Nothobranchius furzeri: one gene and its partners. The protein of the gene in region 1 interacts with the protein of each later gene in a biochemical or structural test. Links are inferred from orthologs where the notes say so. Each region holds a gene or a part of one and is shown on either strand. Other genes may lie near its edges. The genes, in order: raf1a, rb1 and phosphatidylethanolamine-binding protein 4.

The links.
Region 2: the proteins of raf1a (region 1) and rb1 form a complex in vitro, tested with the Homo sapiens proteins (3 studies listed by BioGRID, with this or other methods). The link is inferred for Nothobranchius furzeri from reciprocal best matches to the Homo sapiens genes RAF1 and RB1.
Region 3: the proteins of raf1a (region 1) and phosphatidylethanolamine-binding protein 4 form a complex in vitro, tested with the Homo sapiens proteins (2 studies listed by BioGRID). The link is inferred for Nothobranchius furzeri from reciprocal best matches to the Homo sapiens genes RAF1 and PEBP4.

Annotation. Positions count from the first base shown.
Region 1 is NC_091755.1:58,343,022-58,346,773, forward strand, and holds the start of raf1a (raf-1 proto-oncogene, serine/threonine kinase a), read left to right. Parts: upstream 1-1,323; 5' UTR 1,324-1,554; coding exon 1,555-1,806; intron 1,807-1,907; coding exon 1,908-2,020; intron 2,021-2,116; coding exon 2,117-2,219; intron 2,220-2,305; coding exon 2,306-2,463; intron 2,464-2,888; coding exon 2,889-2,978; intron 2,979-3,752. UniProt on the Homo sapiens protein: Serine/threonine-protein kinase that acts as a regulatory link between the membrane-associated Ras GTPases and the MAPK/ERK cascade, and this critical regulatory link functions as a switch determining cell fate decisions including proliferation, differentiation, apoptosis, survival and oncogenic transformation.
Region 2 is NC_091750.1:48,282,421-48,286,137, forward strand, and holds the start of rb1 (retinoblastoma-associated protein), read right to left. Parts: upstream 2,928-3,717; 5' UTR 2,779-2,927; coding exon 2,672-2,778; intron 2,348-2,671; coding exon 2,227-2,347; intron 1,922-2,226; coding exon 1,818-1,921; intron 1,403-1,817; coding exon 1,268-1,402; intron 1,177-1,267; coding exon 1,138-1,176; intron 1,017-1,137; coding exon 967-1,016; intron 1-966. UniProt on the Homo sapiens protein: Tumor suppressor that is a key regulator of the G1/S transition of the cell cycle. The hypophosphorylated form binds transcription regulators of the E2F family, preventing transcription of E2F-responsive genes.
Region 3 is NC_091757.1:40,557,797-40,561,548, reverse strand, and holds the start of phosphatidylethanolamine-binding protein 4, read left to right. Parts: upstream 1-1,168; 5' UTR 1,169-1,271; coding exon 1,272-1,274; intron 1,275-3,752. UniProt on the Homo sapiens protein: Promotes AKT phosphorylation, suggesting a possible role in the PI3K-AKT signaling pathway.

The DNA of each region.
Region 1 (3,752 bases):
CTCCAACAACGTGAAGATCGATTCAAACGGCGTCGCTTTAGCGGGGAACCCATCGGACTTGTACTTTCAGTGTTTTTTCTGCATCAGGGAGAAAATCCACCGTCGTGTCACTTTGAAGGACCGACGGATTTCTCGCTTTTGTCACGTCCGGAAGACAAAACCTTGTTTTCCGTTGCTTTGGATGAATTTTTTCCAAGAGCCACCTGTGACCTTTATGTTTTACAGTAACTGAACTGACTTTCTGCGTTTACAGGAGCGTTTGGGACTAGTCGAGGACTCGCTTTTGGTCTTTTTTCCCACTTTTCTTTGAATGCGTTGCAGATATGATGATGTCACCGACGCCACTTTTTCCTAAAGTTATGGCGGAGCACAACTTTTTGAACTTCTCTTGGTAAGCATGTACGATCTACCGGTCCTAGCACTTCACTACTATTGATACACGCTTGAAAGCCGAACTTTTAGTGTTAAAACCGGTTCTTTTTCAGACACATTAACACAAAATACAGGTTAAACCATTAAAAACCGAGCAGAAGTTCAGTTCGCTGTTTCAGGGAGGGCCTGCTGGCTGCTTCGCTGTTTTTGGTGAAACTGTCGAGCTTTATTTAAAAACACACTCGCTGCTACCCTCAACGTATCATTTTAAAGCACGAGAAAACCCACACGAGTATCCCAAATAGCTGTTTGTCCCTTGTTTGGTTTGAATGCTACACACTAGCAGCATTCATGCTAACCTGCTACATGTCAAAATCACATATGTGGACGTTTGATGAAGCAGCCATGTCGTTGTTGTAAACTGAACTCATGCTTGGGATGAATCAAGCGTTTGCAACAAATCTCCAGCGTTTAGCCTGTCTGCAGCAGATGTGCATTAACACAAGTACAGCAGACATGATAACAACACGAGTGTCTTCAGGGTCAGCAGCCTCCTGTATAAACCTGCAGGGTGGTGGTAAACACGTGAATGTCAAGAATAAACAAAAACCTTTTGGTTGTTTACATTAAGCTCAGTAGTTTGTGATGGAAACAATCCAGGTGAGTGGGTTTATTTGATGGCCTGGCCTTTTGTTTTCAGGAAACACATTTTGCATGAAATAGTCAGTTTAGCTCAGCTCATTGTTTTCTTCTTCTGGTTTATTAGCATATATAGGCCACACGCGACTCTTTTTGCGTGTTATAAACTTCCAGCCGAGACAAAAAGACCCGCAGAAACACACAACTCTGCAGTTTGGATTAGCTCAGTGTTTCTGGCTTTTCTCAGTAATTAATATGTTTTTATGCCACAATCCCCACATGCGATCTCTATTTAAAGGTTGCTGGAGGTGAGATTAAGTTTTGAGATTAAACCTTACAGCGCTCTAACCCAAATCTCATGTTTTGCCACTTTTCCCCCCCTGGTGTTTTAATCAACCGTGTCCAGGCCAGCAGATGCTGTTTCTCATTGTCAGCATAAACATTGTGTCTGTATGCCCCAAAACATGCATTTCTGCAGCTTTTGTGTTCTAGTTAAGAGAGCCAGTAAATGAGGAATGCACCCACAGAGATGGATGAGATCCAATGTGTTCCTTTGTGATCTGCATAGATTGTTGTGAGTATTTAGTTTTACTGATGGAGCACCTTCAAGGAGCGTGGAGAACCCTGAGTAACGGCTTTGGAATGAAGGACTCTGCGTTTGAGGGTCCCTGCCTTTCCCCGACTATGGTCCAGGGCTTTCCCCACCAGCGACGCTCCTCAGATGACAGCAAGGTGCCAGACTCGAAGGCTAGTAGCACAATCCGTGTCTACCTCCCAAACCAGCAACGCACGGTGGTGAGTTAGTTCTGCATTAGGAAACGCGTTTAGAGTTTCCACATTTAACACGGCGACCTCTGAATTCAGATCATAATTATTTGTAATTTCCCGTGTGTCAGGTAAACGTGCGACCAGGTTTGACTTTGTACACGTGTCTGATTAAAGCCCTGAAGGTGCGAGGGCTGCAGCCTCAGTGCTGCGCCGTCTTCAAGCTGCACCCAGGTCAGAGAAGGTGAGTTCAGGGTTTTTGGACAATTGTAACCAGAAGTAAGAAGATCACATGCTTATGTTTCTCCCCCTTTATTTCTACGGTTTGTTTTCCAACCAGTAGAAAATCTCGGATGGACTGGAACACTGACTCCACCTCTCTAATTGGGGAAGAGCTGCTGGTCGAGGTTTTAGATCACGTTCCGCTGACGACCCATAATTTTGTAAGCACCCAAGTCCTCTGCAGCGCCCTCACCTCCGCGTCCAGCGGCTAAATCAACACGTTCAAAATGCTTTCTGTCATTTCCAGGCTCGGAAGACCTATCTTAAGCTAGCCTTCTGCGATATTTGCCAGAAGTTTCTTTTAAATGGTTTCCGCTGTCAAACATGTGGCTACAAATTCCACGAACACTGTAGCACCAAAGTGCCCACGATGTGTGTGGACTGGAGCAACATCAGACAGCTCCTGTAAGTATCTGAGAGGGGTCTCTTATTATAAAAACAACTTTTGATTAAATGGGGGAAAATGGTGACATGGTGAAGCACAACATTTTTAACAAACAAATTACAAAAAAATACACCAATTAAAATAAGCAAGTCAGCACACGCACAGTTCGTTTATCTCCCTCGGGCTTTATAATTTGATTTATATTAGAAATGAGCTCACCCAAACTTTCTGCAAAGATGAACAGTAGAAGGAAGCTCTGCTGATATCCCAGTTTGCATAGGGGTGTGCTCATTTGCATCCTGGCACTGCCAAAAAGGCCGTTTTGTTTCATTTTGCATGCAGGCTGTAGATGAACAGTAATTCTGTAAAGATTAGTGTCATTTGCACACTGCTCTGTTGTAAACACACCCTCCTCAGGACTTTAGTCTCTTGTTTCTGTCGGCAGGTTGTGTCCGGTCCCCGGGGAGAGCGGCACCCCGTCACTGCCGCCGCTCACCTCTCGACGGATGAGAGAGTCTCTGTCACGGTTTCCAAGGTGACGTTGCTTCTCTCTACTTATTCATCACAAACCCTCTGCAGAAGGATAAAACAAGGTTTTATTATGCAGGTGAAACTGGAACAATACTTCAGAATATGGTCCATTTATTTATGTAATCCAGATTAGACTGAGAGGCCATCTAAAGGCTCAGGAAAACCTTTGCAGGTGTTTCAAGTTGAATTACTGACATAAATGAACTTTTGCACTGTTATAAGTTTAATTACCTCCAGATTAACATCAAGCTGTTGTAGACTAGATTACAGATTAGATGTTATTCGGCTCACATGTGGTCAAGTTTGGACTTTTTTAGGATCATATTTTAATTGTGTTGTATGTGTTTAAAAGGCTGTCTTTGCTTCAGGGAAGCTTATCAGTGGAAGGAATGATGTAACGCCGGGTGTGAAAAACAGCCTGTTGTTTTGATGGCTGATAAAGTGGTTTAAAAAAAACACCCAGGGTTGCTAAATTGGCTGTCGCTGCAAGTTGTTCCTTGCAGAAAAATGCGAAATGCTCGACAGGAATATTAATTCCTGTTGTCTAAAGCGGGACTGCTCATGAAGAACACCAAGGCGAGGTTCTGCTCAAAAACACAAACAGCCGGTTCCTCTGCGCCGCTTCTGGACGATTTCTCTGCAGATCCGAGAGCGGCTTTGCGCTGCTGTAGGATTAGCATATCTGGCTGGAAGGTTTTGTGCTCTTTAACCGATCTGGACACAAAGCCGCTCAGCCACACACGGCTAAAGAGGAAGACCAGTAACAAATACGAGCCCA
Region 2 (3,717 bases), on another chromosome or scaffold:
AGAAACATTCTCGTTAGTCTCTGATTTATGAAGCGGAGATTGCGTGCAGCTGTGCGTACTCCACGTTTGATAGATCACAAACCTACTTGGCGTAAGTACATATTGTTTGCTGAGCTTACGTACAGTTTTAGTAAAGATTCTACGCAACGTTTGATAAATGAGACCCCTGAACTTTAATGATTCTTTTGTTCATGTAGCTATATTTTAGGTCTATTGTAAGAGGAAAAAGTACTTAAATTTTCTGTTTATGAAAAAAAAATGCAGTAAACGTTCAGTGTAAACAGTAAGCTATAATTTAACAAACGCCTATCCTTCACCTAAAGCAAGAGAACACCTATTTTGGATATTTGTATTTAAAAACAGTGGTATTTATTTGTGCTACACAAAAGTAAACAGTATGAAGATAAAATGTAAACTTTGATTTATTCTTTGGTAAATATGAAACATCTACTCTCAAAACCCAAAATGAAAGATAAACCCAAAGAAATGGAGAAATGAACATGCTTTTTAAACAAGAGGCAAAGCAAGTCAAAACTATTACACTGCAAACATGGTCTACTTTTATTTTATTTATTTATTTATTTATTTATGGGCAGTCAATGACATGCACTGGCTTGCAAAATGGCGCCATGAATTATGAAATTGCTGATTTTTCCATACGACACAAATGTGATCCCAGATGTTACGTTTAGCTCGGATGTTTACAGTCACAACATGTGAGCAAAACTTCCACTTTTTCCATGTTATTATTGTCCGCAAACTCAGAGAAGTGTTGTAAATATACTGTGTGTGAATAAGAGAGCAGCCCACCCCCAGTCACATGACCTGCAGCAGCCAATGGTATGAAACTGTGTGGCTCATTAACAAGGATGTTTATTTTCTATATCAGTGCCAACCCAATGTATTCAGTTTATGTACTCAGCCCTAATGTGTTCACTTGTTAGCGTGTTAAAAAAGGACAATTACCTTTGGCCAAAAGAAACACTGTCCAGCATGTCTGCATCGTCTCTCTCTCCCTTTAAAAGGAGACAATAAAATATTAACTATACAAGAAAACAGTTTGTGATATAAAAAATCCAACATTAACGAAACAAAACACATAAAATGTGTGACAAATAGAGCTTAAACTCAACTTACTTGCCATACGTGGTCGAGGTAAAGATCTTCTTACAGGTTCTTACAAAAAAGAAGAAGAAAATGTTATGTCGTGTTTAAATCTTTGCCAGTTACCACTCCGACGGAATGAAAAGTGTCCGTGTTCACTCACTTCTCAAACCTCTGGTAGAGCGCTAACAGCACATCATATTTCTTCTCCAGTCGTGTAAGAACAGAGTTCACTTTGGTGCTTATCGTATCCAAGTTCAAATCCATCTGCCTCACCAGTTCCATGAAGAGTTTAAAACTTGAGTCAAAAGGAGAAAGAACGTTAAGAATAAGGGCATTTATTACTAATAGTCAAATAACCATTTACTAAAATCATTAAAAACACATTTTTTATCTTGTCAGTATTCAGACATTAGAAGGAAAAATAATGTAAGATACTAAATAACCAAACTGAATCTTCTACTTGATTGATAAGAAACATGAGGAAAACATGGACAGACAGTGCTGCTATAGAAGCAGAGAAAAGCCGCCATGGGAGCACCCACGTCAGTGCAACTAAAAAGGGGAGAGGGGATCATGATTAAAAATAATAATGGTATAATTTTAGACAAGCATCTTTATTCTAACGATAATTCAAAACACCACAAAAAAGATGTGTTATGCTTTTAGAAGAGTGCACCACAAGGAAAACTCAGCTGACACTCAGTTCTTACTTCATACTGATAGCTTTTAGGATCTGAGTCAAGGTGAAACAGCCAACATCCATGTCTGTTACAGTCACAAACAGACAAGCACCCCAAAGCTTTAGCTGACGATCCTTAAAAAAACAAAACAAAAATACACAGTTACAATCAATGTAACTAACAGGATAAAATTTATCTGTATCACTATAAACATTCACAAAATACGTGTATGAATGAGAGGGACCCAGATCAGAGGGTTTGGAGAAAAGGAGGAAGATTTTAAACACATCAGTCCAAAGTAATGGAGTGTAGAAAAAAGGTGTGATCAAGAATGAGTCCATCAGAGGGTCAGCTCTTGTTAGATGTTTGGGAGATAAAGTCAGAGGACATGTCCAGAGAAGGGACAGTGGAGAATACTTAGGTTGAACCTCATCCTTACTTTAACGATCTCCATGGATTCCTGCACTATTTTCCACAAGGACCAGGCACGGTCACACACCAGGCCAGTAACATGAAGGCTCTTACACAGACTCACAAACTCTCCATCCTTGTCTCTGTGTCTGGAAGATGAAAACACACAGATCCCAACATGAAAGACAGCCAACAGCAGCAGCTCTCTCTCTCTCTGTCTGTAAACCTAACAGGTCCAAATATAAGGAGTCTATGTTCAGTTTACTCCATTTAATAATGTTCACGGCTAAAAATTCCCTTTAAACTCAGATATTAGCACCAACAAAGGCCTGCGTTAACTTTGGCCAACAAGATGGCCACAGAAAAGCTATCAATACTACTAGAACTAGCTAAACATGAATGTAAAACTAAACCCAACAGCTGATGACACTCTTGGTGTTGTGTTGTAACTCAAACATCTTTACTTTTCTTACTCTTTCTCAGATAATTCCGGACTGTCCTTGTCTGGAGAGGCGTTGTCAGCTCCGGACTTCGGCTGCTTGTTGTGTACCATCCCGGAGTGACGTTTCTTAGGTGGCATACTTCTCGTCTCTGGGTACCTGACAAGCAACTTTTATCAACCCAAGAAACTTGCACTTTTTATTTTATTTAAGGCAACGGCTAATATTATTCGGGTTGGACACGCAAATAAGCTCCGTAGCAACAATACAACAAAATCCGAACTGCTTCCTGATGCTGTTGAAAGTGTGTGCTTCTTTTGTTCAAAAGGAGAGCGCGGCGGAGAGCCGGTGACCCCACCCTCTCTAGTTTACGCTCATGATTTTCTTAACAAACACCACCTACTGAGTTCCAACAACAGTCATGTTTTGTTTCAACTCGACGGCGTAAAAAAATCTAAAAAATCACTACAATAAACAAGTCGTAACGTTATGTTTGTTTTAATAGTTCTCGCGGACCGGCGTGAAGGACCACGTGACAAAAAACCCAAAACGAACTTACCCTAACTCACGAGACCAAAACGCGGGAAAATATATCTACGTCACATCCGCTTTTGCATTTTCCCCGCCACTGAGGGACAGTAGAGTGCGCCCACAGCTTTAAACTACTGTAATATTACGTTCAACTACCTATTAAAGTTAAAATATATATTTTTTTATGTAAAAAACGCACAAAACAGTCAATGGTTACTACATTGCTTCTAATAAAATACACCAAAAACACAGTTCTGTCAGAAATTACTTTGTTTTGGAAAAACAGCGAGTCGATCATCTACGGTGTAGCATTTACTAGTCAAAACTGAAATACAGTTATCAGAATGAACTTTTCTACAAGTAGATATGTTTTAGACTTCCATCCCGAGTTGTGGTTAGGATGCGTAAACATTTGGTCCAGCTATACCCAGAAATATTTCAATTTATATACAGCACTTCAAGCAGTTTGAAAGTAAAAGACTCCTGTACCAGTTTGTTTTGGTAGATCTATAGTTGTGTAACATGAAATAAAAACTAAACAAATAGGT
Region 3 (3,752 bases), on another chromosome or scaffold:
ACTCAAACACACTCAGAACGATCTACTTTCATATCATTTGCCTTTACATAGTCCGATAAAGTTCATAGATGTACAATGCATTCCTCAGTGATTCTTCTGTTGATGTTTTGCATCAACATCACCTCATGCCTTAATGTACAGCGTACTGCAGTTTATGGTATTGAATGTGAAGTTGCGTTAATGTGGTCTCTAGCTTGTTTGCTATATCTAAAGGTGCCATGGTGCTCTGTAGGCTTTGTGTGTATCAATAACTGTGCACAATCCATCATTTGGATGTAAAGGAATCAGCTGGTGTTGGTCAACTGAGTGTGTTTTTGTTTGAAAACCGTTTAGAGTTTATACCATTTAAAGTTAGAAACACACAAAAAAAAGTTATCTAAACTTGGCCCGACACGGCTAGGCAAAAACGTTGACAGGTCATCAAATGAATTGATTGCAGGGATTTCTGATCAATTTCACTGTTTTAAAGTTTCCTTAATGAGCTCCAGCTTTTGATCCTAGTCAGAAAAATGCTTGCACAATGCATCTACTAATAAAAGAATAAGTCAAATATGTATTTACTGTATAATGACTTCTGAGGTTCAAACTCAACATAGTAACTGATATAAGCTATTGCATAGTTCACCACCTTTTTTCTTTTACTATGCATAATGAAATGCCAACTTGCGCTGCTTTGTATCACTGGTTCTCCTAAAATTGCACCAAATGCTTTTGCAAGTTCGTTAGGAATTAAAACCATCAGGTGGGAGAAAAATCTGATCATAAATTATAAAAAGGTTTTCACTGGGACCCTTTTCACGTGTCTGGGTGCTATTATCACAGCTGCAGAGAAGCACAAACCAAAGGGAGCTTTAGCAGCACCAGGACTAAAAGGTATATGCTGCACAGTCACTACTGAAGAGTTTATGAGGCCTTGTTAAAAAAATTAAAATTTAAAAAAGACAAGAGAAAAAATAACTTGAATGTTTTCTTAGTGTTTGGAGCCTGGTGGACATTTTTGTGACCTCCGGGTGATTTAGTTGTTTTAAAGAATCTGTTTTTATGGTTTAGGAGCTGTACGTTTAAAATTCTGTAGCATGTGTTATTGAAAATGTGTAAATAATGTTTAAATAAATGAATAAACACGTACATAATGAGTGCTGCGTCTGTCTTATTTACCCCGTTTTAGTTATGACACTTGATACTGTAGGGTGCGCAGTAGAGGTGCGCAGAATCAGCAGCAGCGAGAGCGCTTCACCCAGAGAAGGAAAGACAACAGGAGCATTTCAAACATGGTAACGATACATGAACAACACCGCTACCTTTATACTAGGTTAGAAAAAAATAATAGTGTGTGTGCAGCTTTATTTATGCTCTACTAGCTGTCTTGACTTCATTTAAAGTGTCGCGTCAACGTGTAAATAGTGACACGAACAAACAAGGGAACGCAGTCTTAAGCAGCAGGGGGTTAAAGACACGTTTTTAAATAAACAAGATGTAGTATTATGAAAAGTACCTGCGCCAAATTACCACTTGTTAACGTAATCATATTCAGCGCGTGACCGACTATTTGATGCAGATCAACGCGCGCGCGACACAAGTTTTATTACTGATGACACCTTAACTAAACAGCCCCCACCAGCCAGGACCCGGATGTAGGCTTTATTAGCGTTATTGCTTTGTTTTAAAGGACTCACTTGGGAGTGGTGGTTGTTAAATAACCTCTTAGATTCAATTAGACAAACAGTTAAATATAAACTGGATTCATATAGAGATAAATGAAGAATTGAGGGCTGTGTGGAAATAATCATTTCATATCTTGTCTGCTTCAGGTAACTATTTGTATGGCCTCCGTTTGGAGAAATGTATATTGTTTCTGACGGCACAGACGAGCCACAATTACACAAAGTGAAATCTAAAAGAAAATACTGCAGTTTTTTATGATATGTAATTAAAGGTGTGGTTCACTTGTTTAATAAATACAATTGCAGTGCGGTCTCTAGTTTGGACCGCTGGCTGTAATGCACATATCACACAAACTTGCAATATAAAATATAAAGCAGGACATCACCTGACCCCTCCAGCTCGGCTGTGTGACTGCACTAACCTGTCCTGTGGGACCCTCACCATGTGACCCTCATGTCCATGCTGTCTCTGGAGCAGCAGATATGAAACAAGATCGCCTGTAACTTAAAATGAACCAAAGCTTCCTCCCAGTTTCTCTTTAAGCTGAATTTAACATCAGTTTATCATCATGAAACAAAAGACAAATGTGGAACAAGAACGTCTATCTTCTATTTCTCTCTCCTTTTAACTTATCCGTGTCCCTAAATTAAAGAGACTTAAAGAGACTGATTTCGCTGCAGCCGCCGTCACTGACCCTGCTCCCTCCCCAAGACCAAATCCCCCGACATCACAGCACTCGGTCTGACTGAGCGCTTCGAGGAGAAATGATAATGAAATTGTGAAAATAATAATGCTTGTTTGGAGGAGCGCCCTCCGATCCTCTCTCTCTCTCTCTCTCTCTCTCTCTCTCTCTGTCTCTCCCTCTCTCTCTCTCTCTCAGTCGCTGATCGAGCGAGCGGAGCGAGGGCACGACAACCCGCTAAATTAACATAATTCACGGCCCAAATCCAACAGAATCAATCGGGCTGATTGGGTTCGGGTTTGGTCTCAGGTTAAAACTCCAGCGCTCAGCCCTGGAGTACCACATAAAGGCGGACCAAAGTTTCCTACCTGGTAAATGTGGAGAACACCCACTCTGACAGATGTGGATGCTACGCTGGTGCCGCCGTTAAAACCACATCCTACTATAATTGATTACTCTTCTGTTATGCAGAAACGTTTCTGCCCACATCTTATGCATTGATTATTTTCCCCAGCTCTATCCTACACCTCCCGGTCAGGGTTGGGGGTGCGCGCAGGGTTTGGGGGCAACAAAGAGAGGGCTCGTGGGCTGGTCGTGGCCCACGGGCTGCCATTTGCAGACCACTGTCCTAGAGTTTCCCTGTCAGTGGCAGCTGGTGAATTTTGTTTTTGGCAGGATGCATTTTAACAGATGACATATGTGCTGTTAAGAGCATGTCTGCTGAGAGATTTGCGTGCCCAATTGCGGGAAGTTGTGTAAGAGTCATGAGCCAACTTTTTAATATTGGCAGCTAACATGCCATGACGATAGGCAGAGCAGAATGCTAACAGCTGCTGCCCAGCAAAGGCAAGGACACTGGTCACTTTTTTACCGAACAGCACCGCGGTTCCATCCCTTGAAGTAGAACTACGGTACAAAAATATCACCTTCAGAAAATTAAACAAGAGACTAACAACAACCGACACATCCGTAGTAATAGAACCCAAACAAAACACCCGAAAATACACCATAATAGAACAAAACACCTGAAAACCGGCTACCCACAATGCACCTCACCAATGCAATGTAACAATGCAACTGCAGTGCCTTGCTCCAAAATCTGCGGCCGCCTTGATCTCACGAGGTTATCGTTGCCTACGTATGCATGACATCAGAGCGAGTCGGCATCAAGTCGGATACAAATCTAACCGGCATGCACTGAACGCCGATCACTGTTGATCTAATCTGCGCAGAACTGGCTCGTTTCAAACACGGCCTTTGTTAGCGGCTCCGCCCTCTCGGTCTGCTGGGCTACAGCCTTTGTTGCATTTTTCTAACAGGAAGTGGGAGTTGAGTAAGAATCTGGTAGGGGGTGACTTGCTCTTTTAATACAGATTATACACAGCACTTAGTCTGTTGTATAGAT